3 linked regions of the Drosophila melanogaster genome follow. The protein of the gene in region 1 interacts with the protein of each later gene in a pairwise test. Each region holds a gene or a part of one and is shown on either strand. Other genes may lie near its edges.

Region 1 (6,515 bases):
GTTGCAACGATCATTTTTGTATGTCCAATAGTTAACCTTAACCCCTTGTTGCCCCTTGGGTGCTACTGTGGCAGCTCCGCATGTGGAAAACAAATTGCTTAGAAAACATAAACAAATTACAGCAAATTAATAAAGCCGTTCGACGGTTTTTTAATGGACCAGAGGGCAAACCGAAGAGGGGATCGCTGGGAAAAGGCACATAAACATATATACATACATATATCCCCTGATCGGGGTGGTGGCATGTAAACGATAATGTAATGGGGAGAGAAAATGCCATGGCTGAGTACCCGATTTTCCCTTTTGGCAGGCACTCGTCAAAATGGGCGAGATAAGACCATTTGGTATGGTTTGTTTGGGGCCCAAAACTGAGAAAATATCAAAACATCATTTCGAACGCTTCGCAAATGGGCGAAAGGAAAGTGGGAGGGGCAGCACCTTTGTACCGTTACCGGTTCTTAAAGACGCAAAAGGTGGCAAACTAGTTTCGCCGCTGGATAGTTGGCCTTCGATGGCTGCGTTCTGCGATACCTTCGTCCTGACAATAGAAATGGAAAATTCAGGCAAACAGGAGCAGAAATGGGAAGGGACCAAGTAGAAGAAGAAGCAGGAGAGTGCGTAAGCCGCAAGGATCAGAAGGATCTGGAAACAGATGGTACAGCTGCGCGGAATACAACCAAAGCTTAACCCACTAAGGATAGGGGTTTCTAAACAAGTAAACTTTGACCTCTTGAAAATTTATGATACACTACATTTGAAACCTATCGTGTTATATTAATAAACAAAAGTATGTTTTCAGTACTTTTAAATGTAAGTATGTATATCATCTAACCATTGTAACTATAAGCAAAGATGGGTTTATTTATATGCAAAATGTAGCTTGCTTATTTAGGGGTTAAGCATCCAGGGGCTGGGGAATCGATTGGCATTCGGCAGATGTTGTCCTGTGGCACATCCTTTGTAATTAACAAAGGAGTGCGGTGGAGTCGGCGGTGAGAAGAGACCTCGAGGCACGGGTTAAGCCCATTAAAAGTCCCCAACGACTCGAGCCCGTTTGTGTGTACAGTTGCCATTGGGATCGTTCAGCCGCGCTCTTAGTCGGTCCTTCAGTTAGTCAGTCATTCAGTCCGTCAGTCAGTCATACCGTCAGTCATTTAGCCACTCAGTCAGTTTGCCAACCTGTCTCTGTTTGGCATCACCTGCCATCGCCATCGTCTGTTGTCTGTTAATGTGTTTAATGATGCCCTGGCCATCGGCGATCTCAGTTCAGTTTTCATTTATGCTAAATTGCGACTCTTATGCTGCGCTGCAAAAAAGCTGAAATATTAGCCGTCCTCATTATATAAGTACAGACACATTGAAGATAAGCATAAAGCACAATTACAAGCCGAATAAAAAGTTAGTAAACTTAAATCCTTTGTTGGTTTCATTTTCGAAATATGTTATTGATCTTACAAATGATCTTAAATGCCATTAATTGATTTATAGTTCTTAGTTCTTTGATCAAGCTTAAAAAGGATCTGGTTGAAAGAAATGTAATAAATTTCATGGTATCTTTTTCATAGCTAAGCGATCAGCTCTGCTCAAGGTGTGACTATGAGACTCTGTGCCACTCCAGATGTGTCCGGACATGCCTCGTGCCTCAGCGATTGTCCTGATGCGCGATATGCGGGCAGCGCGGGTCTTCGTCTTCTGGTTTCTTCATCGATCTCTAGCCACGCGCCGCAACTTTCCTCGCGACTCTCGGTCGCACTCTTGCCGCCGATGCACCTGCTCGCCAACCAAATGTAAACCCAACTGGCCACCGAATGTGGGCCGCCCTAATGGAGTTGTCCCCGGGCCCAAGGTTCGCAACTTTTACCAGCCTGCTCTGGGCGATCATTAGCTGACAGAAGGCCTCACTCGACGGACAACATTTTTTGGGCTTTAAGTCTTAGTTAAAACTTCTTTTTTGGGCTTCTAGGGGATCTTCTATGCATTCGGAAGGATACAATTGCTGATGTTGGGATATGTACCTATAGTAAGTCAGCAATGAATTTGCTTTCATAAATATACATTAAATCTTTTAAAGTGTATCCTTTACGCAGAACTTTCCATATCTAAATATGTCTCTTAAATTTAAAAATATATTATAAATTATTCTAGAAGTATCCTAAAAAAATCTATTAGGTGAGGCTTTTGAAATCCTTCAAAATCAGTGGCTGCATCCTTATTTAGACAGTCTCTTTCTCGTATGACATAACATCCCCCTGTTCTACGACATTCCAGAAGCCTTGTTAGGGAAACCTTTGGTCCTTTCTGGGAGAGTATCAAGCGATTCGGCGCAGAGAGCGAACAAAGATCGAGGTACCCTTTATTTTTCGAGAGTAAGAGAGTTCATACGAGTTGCTAAGGATATAGCTATGCATCTTATTCTGCATTTAAATTTAAACCAATACACTATGAAAATCCTTAAACAAAAGTATAATTTATACACATATGTATGTATACTTAAGTTGTTATATTTTATGTCTAGCTAACGTCAGACTCCACGACTTGAAGTGTTACTTTATACATTCTATGCCCCTTAAAAGGCAGGTAGTAGGTATCTAAAAGTTGCCACCCCTGCGAGCTGCGTTCCTTTTTGCAGCCGCTGCTTCTGCCGGCGTCGGCAGAGAAATTCGAGTCTGAGTTCTGAAGTCGTTTTCGTTGAGGCGACGAGCTGAGTCGCCGCTGTGGAGGAAATTCAATTGCGCGCAATCCATCGGCGGCGACGGTTGTGTCTCAAAAGAGCCTTCCAACTCCTGACTACTACTGATCAAAAGAAATAAAAGTAAAAAGTGACCAAGTTACTGCGGATCGAGGAAGTTAAAGCCTTGAGCCTCCGGCACGACGATGGTGTGTTAAACATTTTTGTGCGCTTGTGTTTGTTTGTCGGTGAGTTGAGTGCGCGCGCTACTTTTATTTGTTAACTTCACCAAACAGAACCGTTAGTCCCAAGTGCCCTCACAAAAAAAAAAAAATAGAAAAACACCAACTAAAGGAAAAGAAACATCATAAACCGACGAAATATCCCCCAAAGAATCTGTGTAAAAGTGCAAAGAGACAAGGCGGAGAATGCGCCCGAAAAAATCAAGGAAAAAATAACAGAAAAAACATTTGGCTGGGTGCGGTGATCTTGAACCCGGGCTCAACTCCGCGTAACGGTGCATCGGCAAGTGCAGGAAGAAATGGGTGAAGATGGAATAGAGGAGGAAGGAGGAGAAGAAGGATGAGGAGCGCGATGAGGCCGTTGCATTTCTTTTGATTGCTTGTGTATCATCTTCGGGGATCTCTGAGCGCCCACTCTTTTTGCGGGCATTTTCCGCTCATTTTTGGCGCAGCCTCCCAAAAGGTAATCTCCCCAAGTTCCCAAGACCAGCGTTATAAAACTGCCGTTAGTTTTTTTATGTTTAACCGTTTTTGGGCGCAGCCGCGAGGAGTGACTCTCTCCTGCAGATAATTACGGCAAAAAGGTGAAGAATTTATGCTGACCATCAAAATAGCTAATAGTTGGAAGTTAAACTAAAGCGCTCTGCTAAAAAGTCTTTTTGCGCCCAAATGATTGTGCATATAGGCGGGGAAAATGGCGATTTTCCTGTCGCCTTTTGATTTATTTACATGTGCTTTTGCAGAAGCACAAAGAAATAAGAAGCCATTCTTTGTGCAGAAGTCAAACAAACATTCTGACTCATTCTCTTCGCGCTCTTTTTTGTTGAACTTTTATTTGTTTTTTAACATGAGCCCCAGTGCGGGAGAAAGAGCAAGTAAAGTTAAAGTAACGGACAAGGAACATAAGCATCGTCATCGCCCCCAGTTCTTCTCCTTATCCCTACCATCATCACGTGTCGCCAACTCTGTTCTTCGCCTACACAGACATAAAATGTGAGGATCTTAATTTAAATTAGAATGGCAGTTGTAGTTTTTAAAAAGTATTTAAACTAAATATTAAACCAGGATAACTTATTTATTTTTCAAAATCTTCACACTTTCTTCAAGAAACCGATTGATTGAATAATCATTTTGACGAACTTTGATGATGATTCGTATAAGCTATTTCTCTCAGTGCACGCTTTTTGCTCTGGCCATCAGCCATGTCAGCGCCTTCATTATAATAATTTTTATTGCTTTTGCATAAATCAAAAATCATGGAAAAAGAAACAACTGGCAATCGTAAAATGTGAAGAGAGGCTACAAAACATAAAAGGTGCGTTTTTCGACTGTCTGCACTAATTTCACAAAATGTTGTTCGTTGGACCCGCGTTTTCCTTTTTTTTCTTAATCCTCGCATTTCCGTTACTGTTGCTTTTGTTTTTGTGCCAAATCATTGCGGTCTCTGCATACAAATTCATTAGTGACGGCCCCTATTCTTTGCTCTTCTTGCTCCTTTGGAAGAATTCTCCATCTTCACCTTCTCCACCTCCCACACACTCTCGTTTCTGGGAATTGCCATTTTTGTTTTTGTTGTTGTTGGAGCACCTTTCTTGCAGCGGATTCTGCAGGAACTCACACGGCGCCCTCTCTTCTCATCCCCATTTTTTACAAAGCCTCCTTGTTTCTCGCTTTTCTACAGAATTATGCACAAGGCCTAGGGGCAACTTTCTTTTTGTGTGTTTTTAGTTCACAGTTGATAGGCAAAACTTCTGGACCTTTTCAACTCAAATGTAGATAATAGGAAATCAAGGAAAATGCTGCAGTAAAACTACTTTCTTGATGTGAAATATTATTTATACACTCATTTCTTTCCTATACTATTAATTATAACAATTCATGGGTCATGTAAGCATTTATCGTAGTCCATATCAATCAGTCCCAATCTGTCTTTTGCCACATTAGTTTCCCATGGAGTGAACATAACCTTCTAACGCAACAAAGCTCCACATTCCCTAAATAAATTTCAACACTTTGTTTTGTAGCTCTTTCGGAGTCTACAAAACCGAAGCGCACAAAAAATTAAGATCAAATTTTTACCAGCTGCTTAGTTTCAATTTCTTTTTGCTCGATTCTGTCCTGATTACTGTAACCAAAAATGTGACCCACACCCCCTCCCAAAAGCCCACACTTTGACAATTTGGTCACTAATTTTAGGGCCCTATACTCCGATGTCTGAGCGAAATACAGTTGTCGGTAAAATTTTATTGATCTTCGTTTTTTCTGCACAAAAATATAAAATTGTTTCATGGTCGAGGCTCGTCGTTGCTGTTGTTGCCGACGAAATCGAAATCTCGCCAAGAAGCAAACGGCAATCAGCAAATCGAATTCAAAACGCGTGTGTGGAGGGAGGAAGTCCCAGATCCCAGAAGAAGATCCCTTAAGAGAGCCCAAAGAGACGACTCCAGACTTGAGACGCGCCACGACAATAACAACAACAAAGCCGCAATCAGCAAATACTTGGTTTAGGCGGGCCAATACACCGGAAACAATCAAGACTAATATTGACATGACATACCTTAACTAAAATCACTTTGATAGGTGCAAAGATAGTTTCAAGGTTCCAGTCTATTCAATTTATATGTAATTATTTATTCAAATTTGGCGAGGTTATTAATTATCTTATTTGACCGTTATGACTGGGTAATATTTGGCAGTGTAGCCACTGTCCCATCGAAGAGCCACAAAGGGCCGCCCGAAAAAATATTTTTATCTTGATATTTCTGTTTTTTTGCCGCTGTTTGTTGTTGTTGCTGTTCTAAATACGCCAAAAGTTGCTTTCAGGGCATAAATATATGTCTTTAGTGTGGCATGTCTGGTTGCGTTTTTGGAACTTGGTAAATGGGAACGAATACAGACGGACCTGACCAAAAAATCTGGACCCGGGATCCCAAAGTCGGGCAGAATTCATGGAATTAGTTAACGATTAATGATTGGATATTGATTTCGCTTTTGTGGCCTCTGAGTGGTTGGATCGAGTGACTCTCTTTGGCAACTTGGCCCGTCCGTTTCGCTTTTACTACTCATTAATTTCCTTTAACTATCTTGAGGGGCATTAAAAAACACTGCTGAGCAAAATGAAGTTCCTGCGGCAACATCTTATTCGCATTGGCTTCTTTCTCCATTGAAGAAGCCACTTTACATAGTTTATTTGCGTTGTTGCCAACTTTCTTTTTGAGAGATTCTCTTCCTTATAGCGTCGCTAACAGCTTTACGATCTGAGCAGACATAAAACTCGCAGCCAAGGAAGATAACACTCTACTGCCAGTGCCAGAAGAATGGAATGGGGATTCTACGCTGTTCAGGTAGTATTCTTCGTTTCTGGGAAACTTAATTTGTGCTCCTGGCCGCCATATCAAATTGGCGCTATCGAATACCTAACAGGGGGCAAACATATACCCGTTTGTTTACACATATACACATACATACATATGAACACATGCATGTATAGGCAATGCCCCATATAACTATGAAGCACCAGCTTAAAATTTGCTTAGCTCGGTCTCCCCTCTGCGAAATTTGAGGCTTAAATTCTTCTCGATGAGATGCCATTCGGAACATCCCAT
Region 2 (4,123 bases), on another chromosome or scaffold:
CGCCACTGAGGTTGCTGCTCAACCGTCAGATGCCACGGGAAGAGTAACCACGGATGTGTCCCTAGCAAGCCCGCCATCTTCCCCAGCCATACTTAATGTTTAACTCCAACCTACTTCAATATTGTAGAATGTTTTCTTATCCTGTAAAGGGGCATGTTGTAAACTGCCTGGTAATCTAATTTCTGGTAAAGACCGAGACGTAATTTGATGACCTCAGGTGAATCGGTATTTCCAATTGGTATTATCCTTTCAATGCTTAATAATAAATGTTACATAAAATTGTACAGGCATCTTTTTTTTTATTTAAAAACTGAGTGGTCTTTAACTTATTCTTAACTAAAGCTGGCCATAATCTTTGAGCAAATTCCTTCCAGCGCCTCAGTGGTGACATTCTTAAACTCAGTTAAATCCTCGCCAGAATCGCAGGCTTTGGATATCTGTTGATCCAGAGGCAGGGAGCCCAACAGCGGGATTCCCATTTCGGCGCACATGGCAGCGGCTCCTCCGGTTTTGGCTGGAAAGATTTCGGAGCTATTTCCACAATGGCCGCAACGGAAACTGCTCATATTCTCGATCACGCCCACAATGGGGATATTTTGCTTTTTACAAAAGTTGATCTCCTTGCGCACGTCCAGCAGAGACACCTCCTGTGGAGTGGTCACCATCACGGCGCGCAGGGACTCCGGGTTGGCGTCGTCTTTCAGGTACGAAACCACAGACAGGTGCTCATCGGAAGTTCCAGGTGGTGTGTCCAGTAGCAGGAGATCCAGATTTCCCCAGTCCACCTCGCTCAGAAACTGCCTGATCATGCCATTCTTCTTGGGTCCTCGCCAAATAATGGCATCGTCCACAGAGCCCAGAAGAAATCCGATGGACATCAGACACACGTTGTCTTCGATTCCCACAGGTGACCAGCCGTACCCAGACTGGTGGACACTCTCCCCCAGGGCGCCCATCAAACGCGGTTGCGATGGACCGCAAATGTCGATATCAAGCACGCCGAAGTTACTGTCCGGATTACTTCTGGCCAGATAGCGGGTTAGCAAGCTGGTTACCGTGCTCTTGCCAACGCCGCCTTTCCCGGACAGGATCAGCAGCTTGTGTTTGACATCTTTCATGGATTCGACCACCAAAGCCTTGCCGGGATCTTCGAGTTTCTTGTTGGGATCGCTGCAGAGTCCTTGGTTGGGGCAGCCCGAACAGGCACTTCCCTTGCCCGCCTCCTCGCTCTCGACGCCAGGACAGTGTTCCGGAGGTGGTGCCTGCATGGCTCTTAGTTTCAATAGTTCGAATTCCGTAAACTAATTGTGAAATGAAATGATAACAAGGGAACAGTGTGGCCAAGTTATAACCGGGCACTCAACAAGTGTTGATTAACTGCGATTAAAATTAAAAATAATATATAACTAAGATATTCAATTTTATTAATAATTTAATTTATAATTATAATTTATATAACATAATTTTTATGTATATGTAAATATTCATATTCATATTAAAGGAAACAAAAATGGGTTTATTAAAAATAAAGTTTTTTTTTATTTAGACAAAGTTGAAACATTGAAATAATTTTAATTTTAATTTTAGTAAGCAAGTAAACTTATAAGATTTGAATATCATACCAATTAGGTATAATTGAAAATTAAGTATAATTAAGTTAATTTAAAATGATAAATAATAAATATAAAATAAAATTATAAATATGTGTTAGCTTATATTTATTAGTATCTTTTCAGAATAGCGGTATTTTTAGCCGCCCAGCATACGGCCACTCTGCATTTAACTTGCTTGTCATCGCATTCGGCAACTCACAAACAACTTGTAATTTTCGTTAAAAAACCCCGAAAGTATAAATATAATTGCAACATGGAGACTCTACTGGGTATCAAGGGCCCTGACTTCGTGATGCTGGCGGCGGACACCACCCACGCCCGATCCATTATAGTGATGAAAGAGGGTAAGCCCAAATGGTGCTCATTTTCTTGGCGGCTTGGGACTCATTTCGTTAGTCTCCTTGAATTTCCATTGCAGATCAGAACAAAATCCACAAGGTGTCGGATAGTCTGCTTATTTCAACCGTCGGCGAATCGGGCGACACGGAGCAATTTACCGAATTCATTTCGAAGAACATAGCGTTGTACAAGATGCGCAATGGCTACGATTTAAGTCCACGTGAATCGGCTCATTTTACTCGCAAGAATCTGGCCGAATATCTTCGCAGTCGCACGCCCTACCAAGTGTTCATGTTTGTGGCCGGGTAAGGATCATGAGATCAGTCAATCCATTTGCTTTCCGTGCCTAATCTGTTTCTTCTCCCCAAAGCTACGATCCCAACGCGGGTCCGGAGCTCACCTTCATTGACTATTTGGCCAATGCACTGCCTGTGAATTACGCCGGTCATGGCTATGGTGCGATCTTCGCATCCAGCATCTATGACCGATACTGGCACCCCAATATAACCCAGGCGGAGGCCTACGACGTCTTCAAGAAGTGCATTGCCGAAATCCAGAAGCGCCTGGTCGTCAACCTCAAGAACTTCACCGTCGCCGTCGTGGACAAGGATGGTGTGCGAGATTTGGAGCCAATCAGCGCTGCTAGCCTGGCCGCTTAGTTAGGTTTTGATTTAAGCATTTAAAATGCAGTTTTGTAATAAAATGCGTCTGGATTCTTGGCTAATTTAATACACGAAGGTGGTTTATCGGTTTAAAAAAAAATATATTATTGAATTAGCGATCAGTCGGGCAAATTTTGTGTTCTAGACGATCATTAAGTAATTTCAATATTCAAGAAATCGAATTATAAAATTATATTTTATATCTTAAAAATGAATCTAATTTTAGTATACTCGTGGTATTTTTATATCCCTAGTATTTTTCATCGCACCGGTGGCAGTCACTCTAAAAGTTGTTATACAAAATAAATAGTATTTTTAACACAATATGAGCCTTGAACAACAGCCAGCCGTGGATCCCCACAATCCCCATGGACTGGGTGAGTCCTCAGAATAATCGAATATGACCACCAACTGACACTGCCCTTGCTAGGCGATCCAAATGATACTAGGTTGCGCAAGGTGGAGCGCGAAGTGCTGATACCCAAGATAATGCGCGATCGTGCCAAGACGGAGTTCTGCTCAAAGGAGGTGGCCGACTTCCAGGAGTGCTGCAAGGCCAGCAGTATACTGATGGTGGCCACCTGTCGGAAACAGAACTCAGCCCTGAAGGAATGCCTCACCCAGTGGTATCAGAACGAAGCCTTCAAGGAGGAGTGCAAGCAGATATATCTGCAGGAGCGCGCCGACTATCGCAGCACTGGCATACCCAAGAAGCACCGGCTGGAGAAGTTGTAGAGTCCCTGAGTAGTTCCTTATTGTTGTTTGCTTTGTACAAAAGTTAAGTAATTAAAACGCCGCACAATAGTCTCTGTTACTGTGGCTTCCTGCAAATCCCTGGAAGAGCTTATCTTCTTAGGCGGTTGGACAGTCAGGAGCAGCACATCCTTATCAGAAGTTTCTGCCACGCGTTGAACACCCTTCAAGTTCTTTGATTGATAGTGATCCGTATCACCAGGCTTTTGCACAATGACCAAAAAGCTGGCATGGTACAATCGAGGACTTTGCTTGTAGATAACTAAAAAAGGAAAGTTAGTATATATATTTCGCAGCTCTTCAGTTAAGAACTTACGAAAATCACCGCCGAACTTAATACCGCTCTTGATGACCCAATTCTTGGACTTCAAATACACATAGCTGGCCAAGTTCTCAACAAATTTCTCATTGTGCTCTTTGGCGACCTCCACAAACATGCAGAAGTCCATTAAATAACCAGCTGAGTTGGTTATATCTAAAACATTTAAATAGTGGGCCAGGAAGCAAGACTCTTCCATTCCGAGAAACAGGGTTTCGTTCTCGTCTCCACTTGCTGGTCCTCCGCGAGATTTGCTTCCCTTGCCAAAACAACCATTATCGTGCAGGGATTTAGCCTGTTCGGGATCAACTATCTCGACGGATAGTCCTGTAAATCTTCCCTTGTAACGTTCGCCATCCTGTCCACTTGGAAGAGGCGTGAAATTCGCATTCTTATTAAAGCAGCGCTTTCTTTTGCACTCAAATGTAAACTGCATT
Region 3 (5,609 bases), on another chromosome or scaffold:
TGGCTATTGGATCCACCATTGTTGGCATCGCCGCTAACGTTGCCGATGCCGATACCGATGCCCATTGAATACTAATTAACCATAATATAATAATAATAATTATTTCACCTCAAATGAATTTTCGGCGACACTGGTCGGTCAGGCCATTAATCAGTGATTTCCAATTTGGATTTGGCTACCCATGCCTTCAGTTGTTTGGCTCTTTGCCTGCTAATTGGGCTCTGCGTTCACGCCCCACTGGGCTGCTTTGTTCCGAATAACGACTGCAACCGTGCAGCCTGCTCACTGCTCGGAATCAGTACCCGTCGGGCCCAAATGTTTACACAGACCGTATGACTCAGCGTTGCCAAGTGTTTACCCAGAACTTGAGCGACTCTTATCAGCGTCGAGCTCGCCGCGAAGTATGCAAATCTGTGAAACGGGAAACCCTAGACCCAGCAACACCTTTCCATAACAATAGCGCTTCTCGGCATTCCATCCAACTGCGATTTCTGATGTAATGGCTTGTTTTATTTTTGATTTCACTTGCTGTGGCTGTTCAATTAGCAGCTGCTGGCTTCCTAACGCAAATCGCCTGGCCAGAATCCAACTTCAATAGAAACTTACTTTCTAAACACACGTTTGGTATGAGCTGAGCCGAAAGCGGTATTGCGGCGAAGCCATCCGCTCCTCGGCTTTGATCAGCTTGGTGGCGCAGAGATCGAGCTGAATCGTCTCATAATTTAAACGCAGTGAAAAAGTGTTGCACAAATAAATACAAGCGGTAGTAGCTGTTTAGTGGAGGCAATTACCCTGACCCAAATTGTGAGACGCTACCCTTGCGGAGGGTATTACATTCAGAGTTGCACTCCTACAAGTCACTGTCAACCAAGATGTCTGCACTATTTCTTGCCTCTATCGGGGCTTTGTAGGGAAAAAGATTTTCCACGGGTTTTCAATCAAAGCTCCAGAAAATTCCCAAACACAGCTTTAAAGAGTATTTGAAACTTCGGACCGACCCCTCTTTATATGATCCCGCTGATTATGGACAATGTGACACTGACCGTCCAAAAAAGTATGCCAGCGGATGACAATTCACTTGCCGTTTTGTCGTGCCGTGCTGCATTTGATAATACGCAACGAAATGGGTTTTACATCTAGGACTTAAACCATGTTGGTGTCGTCGTCAATGGCGTGACAGACATGTGCGGACTGAAGTGGTTCATCTTGGACTTTCAGTGGGTCAGTTCCGCCGTGGGAGAGACAGGGGACTTCGGAGTGCGAAGCGTGCGATGGCTTTCTCAGTGAAATGTGTCAACAGTTGGCTAAGACAAAGCCACCCAATTGTCACCTCAATTAGATGATCAACTGGGCACAGCGGTAGGGCAAACCGACCTGATGACGGAGATGGCCCAAAGCTCTTTGCTGCTGCAACCTTCACATAATCGTCTTCGTTATGTGGTCAAAAGCTGGCTGGCCCCTGTTCATTTATTTATAAGTATTTATCTTAGGTTTTCTTGCCTGCGCATGCTTAATTTCGGATCTCGCGTCTCGTAAATGTGTGTTTGGCTTTGCTTTTTATTTGATTTCGCTGTGAGTCGCTGCTTCGTGGCAGCCCGAGTGAAGTGCAGAGCGAAATTTCACTTTTTCCACACAAGTAATCATAAAACTATGCACGTACATCAAATGCGCTTTTGGCAGGGCCGCAGACAGCGTTTAGACGCGGAGGCAGCACAGAAACCGAAGCAGAAATAAAAACACAAACACTGAAAAATCATAGCCCCCAAGCATAATTCAATGATTTTCCGCTTTTGTAGCGCTGCTAAGCGAACTCGCTGTCGAAGTGGTTTCATTTTGGCTGACTGGGCAAGGTCTTGCTTAACCAGCGCTCTGATTGGAGTCGAAGTTGGTGACTGGGATGCGGATTCGTACTCGGACCGTGGAACGGGGACCAAGGGTCTGCTACCGATCGGGGCAGAAACAATAATTGAACTCAGCTGTAGTCAGGCAAATCCTAGGAATGCGGCTCGCACTGCTGCCCCAACACTCTCTTACTGCCACTGGTGCCTCGTATCTGGTGCGGCAGGTTTGATTCGGGCTGGACGGGCTGGAAACCACAGGCATTTCCAAATAGCCATGCCAACTCACTCACTCACACTGTTTTTGACGGTAACACGGACTTGCGGCGGTCCGATGTACAAGCCAAGATTCTTGGGCCCGGGCTATAACGAGGAAGGTAATCGTTGATCGGTGAGCAGGGAACGTTAAGCAACAACCGCCGGTAAAAATCGTTAACGACTCGAACGCTCGCAGTGCCGTCAAGTAACTGAAGTCGCCGTCTTCAAGTGGCCCCCCAACGTAAGATCGTAAGATGTTCAGGCGGCGAAAGCTCGGCTTCGCGTTGCGACAAAGCACAACTGGAAAACCTGATAAACAGGTAGGCGAAACCCCCAGCCCGGCAGGTGGGTAGCAATGCAAAAGCGAGAGTGAGCAAGCGGGAGCTTTTGGGTTTTGCTAGTGCAACGCATGCGATCAAAGCACGAGCGGATCGGCATCGGGCGAGGCGGTCCATGTGGTTGCCAATGTTTGGACCAGGCTGATAAAACGAGTTTGTTGCCTTGCCTTGCATTGAAGTCTTTCGTTTTGTTGCGTTGCGCGTTTCGTTTTATGCTACTAACTCCAAAAATATCACTGATTGCCACACCAACACACTCGTCCACTCGCGGGATTATGATATCTGTCGTTAGTGCTCTCGCGGTTGTGGTTGTTGTGGCAGGTGACTCACGGGTTGGTTGCCAAACTCAGCACAATAACCACATCCACGATCGACGACAGGTTGCAGTATGCAGAATGTATGCAAATTTGACAGCTCCGTCGATCTCAAATTATTGTTATTGTCGATGGAGCTTTTTGTCTGCATTGCGAAGCGTTTCTTTGCTGCCTGCCCAGAATCAAAATCTCGCCAAAGCGAAGTCTAGGATATGCGCGATTCAGCTGTGGAAAAAACTGGCGTCAGAAACTTGCTGTATTTACATAATCAATCAACAAGGGGAAATCAATAAAGCTAATGCGATTCAATGAATTGCCCACGTTTTCTTTTCATGCACGGACTTCTTGGTAAACAGCTGGAGAAATTCCGGCTGGTGAATCGCTTCTTCTGCATAAACTGGGACTTGCTAAATAAACAAGTAAGCTGTTTTCCCAGACAAATTATAAAATCTAATATTATAAGAACGGAAAATACAACGGGCACATAGAAAAATCTAAAGTCCACCCTGAAAATATAGTGGACTTTCAGTTGCATGGCGGTAGCGCATCTGGTTGCATTATATAATATATAACATAACATATAACATGATCCAATATAAGCCTTAACTCTTGGGCAATCGTCACACACTAATATAAATATAATTCTACATTTCTTTGTAGTACGTACATAGAAGGTAGGCCAAGACAATATCGCCCCAATGCTTGTGACATTCCACGCCAAGTCCAACCACACATAATCACCTTAATGGAGACCCGTATCCGAAGCTTGACTCCGCGGTGACTTTGCATGCCAATAAGGCTAACCGGGTTGCATGCGACCTTTCTGTTTATGTAAACTGTCGTACAAAGTGGCGCATTTGTTGCTGTAAATGATGCAATAAATAATAACAAAAACACCGCGAAAACAACAACGGCGTACGCATATGCTAATTCAGCTCCGATGGCGTGTCATCATAGCCCCGAAAGCAGTACCAAGTCTAACTTCTGTAATGATTCCATTTCTGACTTACTATGCAGAATGTCGTCCAACTGCATGGCCAACGATCAGAGTTCCATTAAGATTTCAAGAGTTCCAAAGGGTTTTGAGCACTCTCCCAACTGTTTGGCTTCACTACAGTGTACTGGTGTTCTGATATTCGATTGTGTTTGTGAATTGTTTGGCACTTTACTGCCTGGCAACCGGGTTGATAAGGCAGCTCACTCGGGTGATAAGATTCCTGTAAGCGGTCGAAGGGTAGTGGGCACTAGCCGATAATAACCGGCACGAGCAAACATCTGTCGAGGGCGGCTTACGGGAGACCCTAAAACAAGTTTAAGTAACTCATTTAGCCCCTTGAGCTGTCAGCCGAACTTGAACACCGCACAATTAACTGGTCCGTCGAGAGTGCTCAGGTTAATATTTCAGGCAGGTCTGCGAAATTGAGGGGCCAGTAGCTAGCACGACAGATTAAGAGATTGAATACCCGTGCGCGTCAACCGATCAGAGGAAAACAAAAAGTTCAGAGCGGCTATCAACTGTGCTGATGCGAAACCCGATGAGGTGGGCAATAGGCAGGCATTTCGGAAAAGGGACGTTTTGAAACGGCGGAATACTTGAATTGATAAAGCTAAGCTCATTTACACTTGGGGTTCAATAACACGGCTCCGGCGGGGGTATTTGCGATCTTCCGGCCTTTCTGCCATCTCAATAATCCAAGAAGGGGCGCGATAAGCCAGTTTAAATACGTCCTCGTCTCAAAATTACAAACGAGAGCAAGATATGAAAGCATATTCAGCATTTGTGTATTCGTCGCAGTTCTCAGAGTGCATTTCACCGCCGTTAATTACTTGGGTAAACCAAATGCAGGTCCATGGGTAAAGGGAACCCAAGTACTTAAGGGATATTTAAATTGTTTTGGCGACAGCGCACACCTAAAAATAGTTATGGGACTTTTTAAATATTTGCATCAGCGTGCCATAATATAAAATCAAAACGAAAACAAAACATCGACTGGTTTATTTACACTTTTTAAAGGAAATCTATAAAGCCTCCGTTTCTGAGCCTCCTCCTTAACGAATCCATTCTGATTCAATAATAATGATGCGCAGACGAAGCTGGAGCGGAACGAGCAGCTGGAGGTTTGGTACATCTTATATAATGCTCCGAGTGGATTCATTGTTTTGACGATTTGCTTTGCACTTTGTCTCGCGGGTACGCACAAAGCTGCTACGTAGTAAACAAGGGATCCCGATTTCTTGATTTCTCGACAGCGCAGTCGGCGCCGGCTCCGTCCAGCGGTAATCTGCAATCATAGCTGACCGCCTGCCCGGTTATCAGTGCGGCGGCAGCGGCGTCGACCTATGCAGCGACGGCAACTGCGACAGCAAAGAATGAGGAAAGAGGAGCGACTGCTCTGCTGGCATTGCTCAGTTCAGTTGCCCAGCTCGAACTGATTCCGTCCGATTCCGACGTCGTAGTAATAACTTGTTTGGTCGGCAGTACGCACAGTCCAGTCCAGCGGAGAACCAGTCCCAGTTCCAGGCCCGCTCTCTAATCCCAGCGCAGATCGGATCGCCGCGAAACGGGCCAAATCTAATCGGTTCCGTAAGGTTCTCGGCCAGATAGTGCGTGGGCCGGCCCGAGTATGTAGCTAATCGCAGCAAACCAAAAATTTGCAAGTGGATCAACCGGTGGCAGTGGGCCAAACTCGAACTCCGTGCGCAGATAATCAAATTCCGCAAGGCAGTCCGTCTTTAATTGCTGCTTTGAAGTGGAAGTGGCGGCGGAAACTAATATGCGCTAGATTCGTGCACTTACATCTGGACAGGAAAACTGCAGTACGGTTGGAAAACCTGATATTGCTCTAGCTCTAACTCTAGCT

Evidence for each region. The genes of interacting proteins can lie anywhere in the genome.
Region 2: the proteins of jigr1 (region 1) and Prosbeta4 interact in a two-hybrid assay, tested with the Drosophila melanogaster proteins (one large-scale study listed by BioGRID).
Region 3: the proteins of jigr1 (region 1) and emp interact in a two-hybrid assay, tested with the Drosophila melanogaster proteins (one large-scale study listed by BioGRID).

What each region holds. Positions count from the first base shown.
Region 1 is NT_033777.3:25,635,157-25,641,671, forward strand, and holds the start of jigr1 (jing interacting gene regulatory 1), read left to right. Parts: upstream 1-2,686; 5' UTR 2,687-2,916; exon of another isoform or gene 2,917-3,373; intron 3,374-4,636; exon of another isoform or gene 4,637-4,797; intron 4,798-6,515.
Region 2 is NT_033779.5:16,729,777-16,733,899, reverse strand, and holds Prosbeta4 (proteasome beta4 subunit), read left to right. Parts: upstream 1-1,766; 5' UTR 1,767-1,866; coding exon 1,867-1,957; intron 1,958-2,031; coding exon 2,032-2,257; intron 2,258-2,322; coding exon 2,323-2,611; 3' UTR 2,612-2,720; downstream 2,721-4,123. Other genes in the region: glu (gluon), read left to right, coding at 1-103; Nubp1 (NUBP iron-sulfur cluster assembly factor 1), read right to left, coding at 333-1,268; CG17996 (uncharacterized protein), read left to right, coding at 2,940-2,991, 3,045-3,349; Tsen2 (tRNA splicing endonuclease subunit 2), read right to left, coding at 3,367-3,629, 3,684-4,122.
Region 3 is NT_033778.4:24,980,892-24,986,500, forward strand, and holds the start of emp (epithelial membrane protein), read right to left. Parts: upstream 3,904-5,609; 5' UTR 3,784-3,903; coding exon 3,759-3,783; exon of another isoform or gene 3,668-3,758; intron 3,612-3,667; exon of another isoform or gene 3,490-3,611; intron 2,314-3,489; exon of another isoform or gene 2,136-2,313; intron 268-2,135; exon of another isoform or gene 109-267; intron 1-108.